Cricetulus griseus: one gene and its partners. Each later gene encodes a partner of the first gene's protein in a complex. Links are inferred from orthologs where the notes say so. Each region holds a gene or a part of one and is shown on either strand. Other genes may lie near its edges.

Region 1 (3,650 bases):
TTGCCAGGCTGCGGGACGGGACAGGCCTGCTGTGAGACACTGAGACCCCAGACCTACACGTTCCCTGATCCCTATCTCCCAAGGCCGGGCAGGCAAGGAGGCTCCCACATACACTGAGAATGGGCATTGTCCTCATCAGGTCCCCAAGGATGCGGCACATGCTTGCACAGGAGGGGTTGGCATCAGCTTCTTTGGACAGCATTTGTCGTGCCTCATCCAACCGGCCCTGAAGCACCAAGACAGTCACCTGCAAAGAGATGGGAGCCAAGAGCCCCCAGCAGAAGGCTCGCTACTCCAAAGTGCTGATGCCTCCAGGCTGCCCTTGACCCGAGTCAGCAAGAACTCCTCCCTTCCAGCAGTGACTCCCAGTCATACCCTGTGCTGGCTGATTTTAAAGTAGCTTGACATGGGCTACAGTCATCAGAGAGGCTAGAACCTCAACCAAGAAAATGCCTCCATAGCATCAGGCTGTAGGTAGGTGGAAAGCATTTTCTCAATTAGTCATTTATTTGGGAGGGCCCAGCCCATGGTAGGTGGGGCCATCCCTGGGATGGTGGTCCTGAGTTCTGTATGACAGCAGGCAGAGCAAGCCATAAGGAGCAAGCCAGCAAGCAGCACCCCTCTATGGCCTCTGCCTCAGCTCCTGTCTCCAGGATCTTACTCAGTCTAAGTTCCTGCCTTGGCTTCTCTCAATGCACTATTACTCTGGGCTATGTAAATTAAGCCCTTACCTCCCCAAGTTGCTTTTGGCCATTGTATTTCATCACAAGAATAACAACCCTAAGATATGACTCCTTTAGCAAACTGTCAGTTTAAAGATAGCTGGCAACCAACTTTAAATGTTTTAACACCCGTGTGTGTGTGTGTGTGTGTGTGTGTGTGTGTGTGTGTGTGTGTGTGTGTGTGTGTGTGTACAGTTGTGTACCATGAGGAGGCCAGAGGACTATCAGGTGATCAGCACTTATGACTTAGTCCCTAGAGACAGGATCTCTCACTGAACTTAAGAGTTAGGCTGGTGGCCATCCCCAGCACCACATCACTGGGAACATAGGCAACCACGCCACCCAAACCTGTCAAAAACAACAACAACAAAAATTCCAGACCAGTAGGGCTACATAAGGAGACCTTGTCTCAAAACCCAAAGCAGACAGGCAGTGGTGTCACAGCCTTTAATCCCAGTACTCAGGAGGTAGGGATCTCTGTGAGTCAAGGTGTCAAGGCCAGCCTGGTCTACAGAGAGTTCCAGGACAGACAAACACACACAGCAAAGAAACCCTGTCTCAAAGGAAAACAAAAAACAACAAAAAACCAACAGCAACAACAACCAAAAATAAAACAACCAAGGATATTCTTTTTCTTTTGGTGATGCTAGAGATTGTGATCTCGAAGATGCCGGCAGGTATTCTAGGATGCCACAAGCCCCTGATCGGTGGTTCTCAATCTTACTAATGCTGGAACCCCAGCCATAAAATTACTTCATTGCTACTTCATAACTGTATTTTGCTACTGTTATGAATCCTTGTTTGTTTGTTTGTTTGTTTTTGAGGCAGGGTTTCTCTGTGGCTTTGGAGGCTGTCCTGGAACTAGCTCTTGTAGACCAGACTGGTCTTGAACTCACAGAGATCTGCCTGCCCCTGCCTCTCGAGTGCCGGGATTAAAGGCGTGCGCTGCCACCACCACCCCGAGCTACAGTTATAAATCCTAATGTAAGTATCTGCTATTTACATTACGGCCCTAAGCAGTCTACCTCAGAACAGCCACTGTGCTCATCTGCACTCCATCCCCACCTTAGTCCCCATCAACCACTTTGACCATCTTACCTTCTCTTCCTCAGCTCTATAAACAAATCAAACTTCCTTTCCAACAGCAAGTGTTACCCTTCATGCTAAATTAGTTTGAAACTACTCTGCAGCAGACAAAGAAAGATGTAAAACCGCTGCTAGGATCAGAAACTCAAAAGAGCCGAGCCAAGGCCTGGAGCAGTCGTCATTCTATAGCCACCTGACAGCACCAGGATGCAGAATGCAAGGCAGAAGGAAGGAGGGGGCTGCCCACGTTATACTCACCAAGTTCCAGAAGCTCTCATGTTTGCTTGGGTTCTCACTGCCCAGAACATCTGCCGATAAACTGTCTACCTCACACACGTGCAGTCGGACCCAGTCAAGAAGATGGAGGAGGAGAGGACCAGCTGAGGGGAGAGACTCATGTCACACACAAAGACCCCGGCTTCATCTGCAGCAAGTTCCACTTTACTCAAAGTACAGACACTGATGTTAAAGCAGAAAACCTGACTGCAGAGGGGTTTAATCTCCTGCAACTGGGAAGGAAAAAGCAAGGAGCTTACAAGTCAGTCCTCTGTCTCTGCAAGGCAGGACCATCTTGTTTTAACTTAAGAAAAGCAGTGTGGGAGAGAAAGACGCCACGCTACAGGGTTCAAGCAGAGGGTTTTTATTAGGGAAAGGGATCATAAAAAGGGGAAAGAGGAGGGGGGAGACTGGCTCCAGGGACAGGAGCAGCAGGAGAGAAGAAAGTGTGACAGAGGGGGAAGGGGAAAGAGGGGGATGAGGGGGAGGGGAGAGAAAGAAAGAGAGAAGGATGGATGTAGGCAGGGCCCTTTGGAAAGGGACCATCAGGTGCCTTTCCCATCACCACACCATCACCTGGTCATGTTTGATAATCTTGTGCCTCCAGTTCTATGGCCAACAGCTGGTAGTGCTGCCACAATGGCTGATTAAGAATGGTCAGTGGGAGCTGGAGAGATGGTTCAGAGGTTAAGAGCACTGGCTGCACTTCCAGAGGTCCTGAGTTCAATTCCCAGGACCCACATGGTGGCTCACAACCATCTGTAATGAGATCTGACACTCTCTTCTGGCCTGCAGGGATACATGCAGGCAGAACATTGTATATATAATAAATAATGGTCAGTGACTCTCCAAAAAACATTCCAGTGGGAGCAAGGAGGTATAGACGATGACACAGCTCCCATGAGTGAGGCAGAGAAGTAAGACCCAAGGGTCTGCAATTCCTAGCATCCCAGGAATTCAGACAGGGTTGATTTTGAGACAGGCACAGGCCTCCCAGTGAGGCGTCACTGAAATGTGGGGACCAAGGGCTCTGAGCTCAAGAGACACACAGTCCCCAGCTACCAGGACTTCGAGAAAAGCCAGAGGGGAGGAAAGGACCATGCTCCAGAAAGGAAGCCTCACGTGCAGGGCAATGGTCAGAAGTGGATAACCCCACCAGAGACCAATGGTTGGTATTGAATGGAAGGCAGAGCCATCAGTGAATGAAAAAGCAGCTTTGCGGCAGGTGGAAGAGCGGGTCTATTGAAGGTGGAGCAGGAGGGTGAGGTTCAAGCACGCAGTGATTACAAAGTGCCGGGAAGAGCATTTTTGGTCGGCTTATTCCCAGTGAGTGGAGCAGAGCAAGACCCAGTGGCTTTTGTCAAGCAAGGATCTAGCAAGAAAGGCACAAGCTGCTTGGGTGAATCGTCAATCAAGGGGCAGGGTCTGAATGGCCTGAGGTTCTGAGAAACCAGACAGGCACAGGCCACCCAGTGGGTCATCACACAAAGGTTGGGGGCTAAGAGCTCAAAGCCAGAGCGAGCTGTGGTTTCTGATACCAGGACTTAAGGAGGCCAAAAGGGGAGA
Region 2 (4,106 bases), on another chromosome or scaffold:
GTGTGTGTGTGTGTGTGTGTGTTTGTGCCACAGTCATGGCACCTGTAGTCAGTAGACAACTTTTTGGGGTTGGTCTCTTATTCCACTATGAGTTTCTAGCAGGTTGCAGGTGGTGGAGATCAGACTGGTATAGAAGTGCTTTTAACCAATGCACTATCTTTGCTGGTCTGTTTAAACTTCCCTTTTAAAGGCGTAACTAAGTAGTAATAGTTTGTTTCTTTTACTTCCCAGGAGTCTGAAATTTATGTGTTGTAAGAATAAGCTTAATATTAAATGAGAGCATTTTTATCGATTTATTATTTCTATCAAGTTCCTTTGAAAAAAATCATCTCACATTACCAGGCAGTGGTGATGCATACCTTGAATTCCAGCTCGTGGGAGACAGAGACAGGAGGATCTCTGAGTTTGAGGTCAGACTGGTCTAAAGACTTGCAGGATATCCAGGGATGTTAACACTGAGAAACCCTGTCTCAAAAAAGCAACAACAAAAACAAACAAAAATTGTCTTGTTATTTTTCTGTAATTTATTCCTTCTAATTTAATTTTGTCCTTTGTTTCAAACATCTTCATGTAAATGGTTTATTTTCAGATTATCTAATAATTTAATATTTAATAATACCAGGTATTTTATTTGGTGCAAACATTCGGTTAAATGGAAAGTAGACTCCTGACTTTGATGCCATTCAGTTTAGCAGGTGAATGATCCAGGTGAGCTTCAGGAGGCCTGGTGGGTAATGAAGACCATGGGCACATAAACAGTGTTCAGCACTAGAAAATACAGGACAGAAGCAAACAAATACATCTCAAATCGCACACAAGTTGAAAACGGTGGTTTAGGTAGTTTTTCTGTAAATAAACTAACAGACCAACATAATGATGAGCCTACTTTAGTTTGTCTTCGGCCTTGGTGGTGCACATCTTTAATCCCAGCACTTGGGAGGCAGAGGCAGGCGGATCTCTGCGGTTGAGGCCAGCCTGGTCTACAGGGTGAATTCTTGGAATCACTTGGAAACGTTGAAAAGGGAAAACACTTGGTGGCTTAGTAGTTACTGAAATAAGAATGGAGAACAAAGCCCTCAGATTTACGTTTTGACCTTCTGAGTGGCAAGGGCTGGATCCCCAGTGACTGCTTGTGCTGAGCATTTTCCCTTCCCCCCCCAGAGCGCCCGAACCCAGCGTGGTGACTGACACCGGCAGCAGGGCCAAAGGTACTTGATTGACACGAACGGTGACCAATGAGAACAGAGGGCCGGCGAGGCTCCCGCCCCAATGGGCCGACTATTGGCAGTCTTCAGCCAATCGCAACCAGAAATCTCTGTTTGGTGGGTGGTCCCGCGGCCGGGAGGTTGGTGGCTGTTGAGCGGTTCCCGTGGAAAAGTCCTTGGGCGGAACATCTTGGCCGGAAGAGAAAATGAGTTTAGCTTTGAGGTCGGTAACGAGGAGGCCGTGTGTCCATTCCGCAGAGGGCCAGGGCGGGCGCGGAAGGGAAGCCGGGCCGGGCGCGGGTGCAGAGCGCCGAGCATCACGGCGGTGCGGCCCTTTTCTGCGGACTGCGCCGGCGCCGCATCGGGAGCCCAGTCTCGCGAGGTTTCCCTCCTGCGTGTGAGGAACTCGGGCCTGGCGGCCTCCTTCCTTAGGACAAGCGTGGGACAGCCAGGCTCTCTCCGCGGTCGAGGCGCCCTGTGCGTCGGCCGCCCCGGCGGATCTGGTGCCCTTGATTTCCGCCATTCTCGTCCAGGCACCCACCTGGCCCACTGGCTCCCATTGGCTCCTCACCCTGTCCATCTTCACGTGCAGGCGCTGTAGAGTGGGTAGACGCTGATGGCCCGGCGGGGGTGTGGCCCGGCGTGGGTGTGGCGGGCGGCCACCTCTGCTCAGCCCCTGCCAGCCTTCTGCCCTTCAGGTGTAAAGAGCCTACACACTCAGCCGTGTTTCAGGCTTTCAAGCTTCCATTTCTTAAAACCTAGCGGATACACGTGTTGTGCCTCATTTAAACATTGGCAGTCTTTAAGGCAGACGTTTTTGGCCCTAAATCCCTTTTTAGATGTTCTTTTACGCTTCTCCAGAGTTTTTAAATGAAGACGTTTAACCCATTGTTTATAGGTTGAGACTGACAACACTTTTAAACATCACACAGACTCAAATAGGAACATTATATGCTATTATTTTGGTCGTCTAGTATTTGTTTAGGTGCTTTTATATTTTGGCTGGTTAATATGGAATGAAAACACAAAGCACTGTTAGAAATGTATAATCTGAAAGCATTTTGAACTTGCAGTGTTAAAGTGACTCACCTTATAAGCTTTATGGTTAATCTTTGTAGTAATTGTGAGAATTTAATTAGAAGCTGTCCAAGGTAAACCATATATCGTGGTTGTCATTTGTGAAATTTACTTTCACATGGATTTTTATATTTGTTTTCATGCTCTTGGTAGGTAACATGAATAACAACTAATAGTGCTTTGGATTTTGGTATATAAAAGTACATTTGGAGTACAAGACGTTGACTTAGGGACAGCTTCTTTATTCTCCAGACTATTCTGCTTTGTTGAAGTTTAGAAAACCATTCTTTGTTCTAAGTGAGTTGGGTTGAAGTGGACTAAACACATTTTCCTGTGTCACAGAAGTGAGCTTGTAGTAGACAAAACAAAGAGAAAAAAACGAAGAGAGCTCTCTGAAGAACAGAAGCAAGAAATTAAAGATGCCTTTGAGCTCTTTGATACCGACAAAGACCACGCAATAGATTATCATGAATTAAAGGTAACAGTGTATTTGATGACACATCTCTTTTGTTTAAATGAATTGCACTTTTGACTGTTGCTTTAAAGTCTATTTTAAAAACTTGTTTTAGAACCCTGAAGCTGTTTTCAGTATCCACTTACAGGGGCTGCAATAAAATTGAATAAAAAACCCTAATATGGCTTTTAGAAACTCGTATTTAAATGTAAAAGTACATTTGGTGGGAAGTAAGGCTTTTTCATTCACCCAGGTGAAAGAACAGTTCTTAGCTTATTCTTCCCATTTTTGGTTTCTTCTGGAGGACGGAGTAGCTCAGATTCTTTAAAAAAAACATGTATGTGGCATGTGCATGTGCATGTGCCTGTGCAGGCATGTAAACCACATTGTGTAGTGTGTGGAAGGCAGAGTGGGGCTTTGTGTATCTTTCATCACCATCTACCTTACTGCCTGGAGACAGGGCACCTCACTGAATTGGAAGCTCATAGCCTAGGTTGGCTAGAGAGTGAACTCTGGAATCACATCCCGATCTACCCCTCAATGCTGGGGTTACGGACACTTGTAGCCATGCCTGTCTTTATGTGGGTGGTTACAGTTCCAGTTCTGGTCCTCGTGAGTGCAGGACAAGCGCTCTTATCCACTGAGCTATCACTTAAGCACAGCACAGACAATTTTCAGATTGAGAGAGTGTTACCTTTGCTCAGATGTTTCCGAGATTGAAAATGTATCCTTTCAAGCTTTTATTATTTATCTTTATTTTATATTTTTGTTGGACAAGGTTTCTTTATGTAACAGCCCTGGCTGTCCTGGAACTCAGCTTTGTAGACCAGATTGACCGAGAACTCAGATTTGTTTGCCTCTGCCTCCCAAGCGCTGGGATTAAAGGCATGCAACACCACCACCTGGCTCAATCTTTGAATTTTCAAAGATAATACGGACAAACTCTTATTTTTCTTTTCTTTGCTACAAAGGATGTACATTGTCTGATGCCTTATGTTGATACATGCTGAGGGACTATGTCAAATTTAAGGCTTAAAATTACTAGTAAAGGAGCTGGGCGGTTGTGGTGCACACCTTTAATTCCAGCACTTGGGAGGCAGAGGCAGGCGGATCTCTGTGAGTTTGAGACCAGCCTGGTATACAAGTTCCAGGACAGCCTCCAAAGCCACAGAGAAACCCTGTCTCCAAAAACAAAAACAAAAACAAACAAACAAACAAAAAATCCAAAACTACTAGTAAAGATTGGAGAAATTGGTGAGGATCTTATTCAGTCTACTAGCATTTATGAAATCTTTTAGTAGCCTTAATGTTTATAGTAGTTTTAATTCGGCAACATTGTAGGGGGGTTTTAAGCAATCTAAGTATGGGTA
Region 3 (3,650 bases), on another chromosome or scaffold:
CACAATTCTCTGTAATGAGATCTGGTGCCCCCTCTTTTGGTGTGTAGTATACATGCAGGCAGAACACTATATACATAAATAAATAAATCTTTAAAAATAAAAAAGAAAGGAAAGAAAAAGTTCCAGGCACCACACACGTCTATTCCTGCCTAATCAGCAATGGACAGACACATGTCAACGACAAGGTCATGGCATCAATCCTGTAAGTTAGTCAGCCCTGCATCACAGGGGAACTTAGATGAATCATCATCACTTTTGGAAAAAGTTCAAGTGCTGGAAAGATGGTTCAGCAGGGGTTAAGAGCACCCACATGGCAGCTCACAAGTATCTGTGACTCCAGCTCCAGGGATTCGGATGCCCCTGGCCTCCACAGGCCCCTGCACTCACATGCACATCCCCACTAGCACACACCTACACACAATTAAAAATGAAAAATTATACACGTAGTCAAGTTCCAAGAGTGAATCGGGAAAATCACAAAGACTAATTCTCTGTTCAGTCTCACCAGATAGGCTCTGATACACAAATGCTCTCGGATAGCATTGTCATCTTCAGCAGGAAGTGGGCTCTCCATGCCTTGCTCCTCCCACTGATTATAGATTTCTGCAATGGAATCTTGAGGGATTTTTACAAACACTTCTTTTGCAGCTTCATGTTTCTTTGATGCTGTGAAAAAGAAAAAAAACAAAAAACAAAAAACCTCAAAATATATGGACTTCTATATACTGTTGTCCTGGAATTCACCATATAGATCAAGCTGGCCTTGAACTCACAGAGGCCTGCCTGTGCCTCTGCCTCCTAAGTGCTGGGATTAAAGATGAGTGATACCATATCTAGATTGTCTGTGTACTGGCCTCTTACAGTATCAAATCACTGATTACATGTTTATATTTCAGTTCTCATACCTCTCCAAAGGTCTTGGAGATATCTCTAGTGGGCTGGCTCTTTCCCAGTGTAAGGTAACACAGACAGTTACTTTCACATACATCTATGTCTTAGAGAAGTGACATTTCCCAAAGTCTGAGGCTATGACACTATATACAAAGCTGATTACTACAGCAAGAATTTACTATTAAATGGATTTGGTTTCATGATACAAAGCCTGACAGAATAGTTGGTTTTCTCCCCTTTGGTGGGACTAGAAATTGTGGGCTGCATCTTCCCCCAGATACACGCCTGCTACATAAGCCCTCCCAGTATTGGGGAAGCCAGTTCTTCAAGGTTTAACTAGTAACACAGCAAAGCCAGAGTTCCATCTAGAACTTTTTTTGTTTGGTGGGTTTTTTGTTTTTCTTTTTCTTTTTTTTTTTTTTTAAGATTTATTTATTATATGTTCTGCCAGCACGTATGCCTGCAGGCCAGAAGGCATACGTGATCTCATTATAGATGGTTGTGAGTCACCATGTGATTGCTGGGAATTGAACTCAGGACCTCTGGAAGAGCAGTCAGTGCTCTTCACCTCTGAGCCATCTCTCCAGCAAGGAAGGCTTTCTTGGCTGACGGTACCATTTTTAGGATGACTGTAAGCAAGTGCCTGTGATTTTCAGGTTGCAAACCATGTTGGAAAGTGTCCTAATTTCTTTTCTGCTGCTATGATAAAATAGTCCAAGAGAAGGCAACACAGGGGAGAAAGGTCTACTTTAGCTCACAGTTCCAAGTTATAATACACAAAACAGCAGAAAAGTCAAGGCAGCAAAACCTCATAACAGCTGGTCATCTCATATCCAAACCAATGCATCACATCACACCCATAGTTAGGGGTGCAGAGAAATGGATGCATGTGTCTCACCCACAGTCAGGGGTGCAGAGAAATGGATGCATGTGTCACACCCACAGTCAGGGGTGCAGAGAAATGGATGCATGCATACTCTCTTGGTTGCTTGCACTCAGCTCAAGTTCTCTACTGCAGTACAGTCCTAGAAGTTCTGCCTCAGGAATGGTGAACTACGTAACTGCTTCTTAATCTCTGAAGCATTAGTTTTTCTTTTCTTAGTTCCTGTTTCTAGGCTGTCACAAATTTGGTATTGTGGTTTATTAATACAGTTTTGTTTGTAAGACGTAGTTTTATTTTAGGACATTACTAAATAATGGATTCCCTAATGGTTCGTAAAGTCAATTTACTCTGAGACTGAACAACATGAGGAAACCTTTATAATGAGTACCTGGATGGGATTCCTGCACAGCTTTGCTCAGCTGTTTACGCTAGCATATGGCCTGCTACATGGGGATCGATGCTATGCACCTCTTTGTGGGAATTCTCAGCCTTTTACATGCACGTGAAGTGTGGTCCTTGGTCAAGTGTTCCTGTTTGGAGATATATTTCACAGCTTCTGCTAAAGAACTACTTACTGACTTGGGGCTGTGGAAGTGGCTCAGTTGGGAGCACCAACTGCTCTCTAGATGACCCAGGTTCAATTCCCAGCACCCACATGGCAGCTCACAACTGTCTGTAACTCCAGTTCTAGAAGATCCATGGAACACATATATGCATGCAGGCAAAATACCCATAAACATAAATCGTAAACAAACAAACAAACAAACTACTGACCCAGGAGACCATGCAACTTGTGCTTTGTAAGAGTGAGGGCCTAGCTGAGGGGACGTCTCAGCAGGTAAAGATGCTCATTGAGAAGCCCAACATGGTGGAATGAGAGAAGTTGTAAGAAGAGTAAACTGTCCTCTGACCTCCACACATGCACCATGGTACACACATACTCCCCACTCAAAAACAAATACTAAATAGATGTAGTAACAACAAGCACCTGTCACTGATAATGGGCAAAGGTCAAAACTGTGACTTTAGTATTAAAGACTGAGTATGTTAGAGATAATTAGCATAGGCCTGTCATTATCAGGTTACTCAGTGTTTACACATATGAGTGTTCTGCCTACATGAATTATGTGCATCATGTGTGGACCTGGTACTCACAGGAGCCAGAAGATCCCCTGGACCTGAACTATGGATGGTTGTGAGCTGCCATGTGGGTGGTGGGAACTGAACTTGGTTCCTCTTCAAGAGTAGCAAGTGCTCTCAACTATGAGCCAGCTCTTCAGCCCCAATAAACAGTTACTGAACGAACAGATGACTACTTAATGCTGTAGTCAATTCAGATGGCTTTCCAATGGATCACTGGATCACTGAGGGTACACAGGTGGAGGCAACTGATTGCCCAAGAGCACCCTGCTCCCTGGTACTAATGTAAGCTATCTCAAGTGTCCCTCCTTCTCATTTATTTATGAAATATATGAAATGTTCTGCAAAAACAAAAGTTAAAAGAAAAGAACATATGGATCTGATAAAATGTGAGAGGACAACCCACCTAAGAACTTTCTCATGATGGCGTTGCCCTGCTTCAGTGCTTCTGCCCTCTGTGCTGGGTCGAATACCAGCCAGTCAATCACATCCACCTTTACACGGTCCTCCTGGTCATCGGAAGCAGAGAAAACCCATTTATTTCAAAGCTATCTTGCAAATGAGTGGAAGTTACAACACACTCTAAATGGAAACATTTTCCCCTCATGATATAAAATTATGAAAGAAGCCAATGTTCCTCTGTTCTACTTAACAGCTCTCCACTCAATTATTGAAAGAACTCACTAGACTATGTGGAATTATTCACTGTATGTCTCACCAACCTAACTCATTGGAT

Evidence for each region.
Region 2: Nup85 (region 1) and Cetn3 share a complex: the UniProt entries of both Homo sapiens proteins name them as parts of the nuclear pore complex. The link is inferred for Cricetulus griseus from reciprocal best matches to the Homo sapiens genes NUP85 and CETN3.
Region 3: Nup85 (region 1) and Nup107 share a complex: the UniProt entries of both Homo sapiens proteins name them as parts of the nuclear pore complex. The link is inferred for Cricetulus griseus from reciprocal best matches to the Homo sapiens genes NUP85 and NUP107.

What each region holds. Positions count from the first base shown.
Region 1 is NC_048600.1:128,167,506-128,171,155, reverse strand, and holds part of Nup85 (nuclear pore complex protein Nup85), read right to left. Parts: intron 2,189-3,650; coding exon 2,067-2,188; intron 248-2,066; coding exon 113-247; intron 9-112; coding exon 1-8. UniProt on the Homo sapiens protein: Essential component of the nuclear pore complex (NPC) that seems to be required for NPC assembly and maintenance. As part of the NPC Nup107-160 subcomplex plays a role in RNA export and in tethering NUP96/Nup98 and NUP153 to the nucleus.
Region 2 is NC_048595.1:302,231,492-302,235,597, forward strand, and holds the start of Cetn3 (centrin-3), read left to right. Parts: upstream 1-1,293; 5' UTR 1,294-1,411; coding exon 1,412-1,428; intron 1,429-2,624; coding exon 2,625-2,760; intron 2,761-4,106. UniProt on the Homo sapiens protein: Plays a fundamental role in microtubule-organizing center structure and function. As a component of the TREX-2 complex, involved in the export of mRNAs to the cytoplasm through the nuclear pores.
Region 3 is NW_023276806.1:138,599,978-138,603,627, reverse strand, and holds part of Nup107 (nuclear pore complex protein Nup107), read right to left. Parts: intron 3,424-3,650; coding exon 3,321-3,423; intron 667-3,320; coding exon 506-666; intron 1-505. UniProt on the Homo sapiens protein: Plays a role in the nuclear pore complex (NPC) assembly and/or maintenance. Required for the assembly of peripheral proteins into the NPC. May anchor NUP62 to the NPC. Involved in nephrogenesis.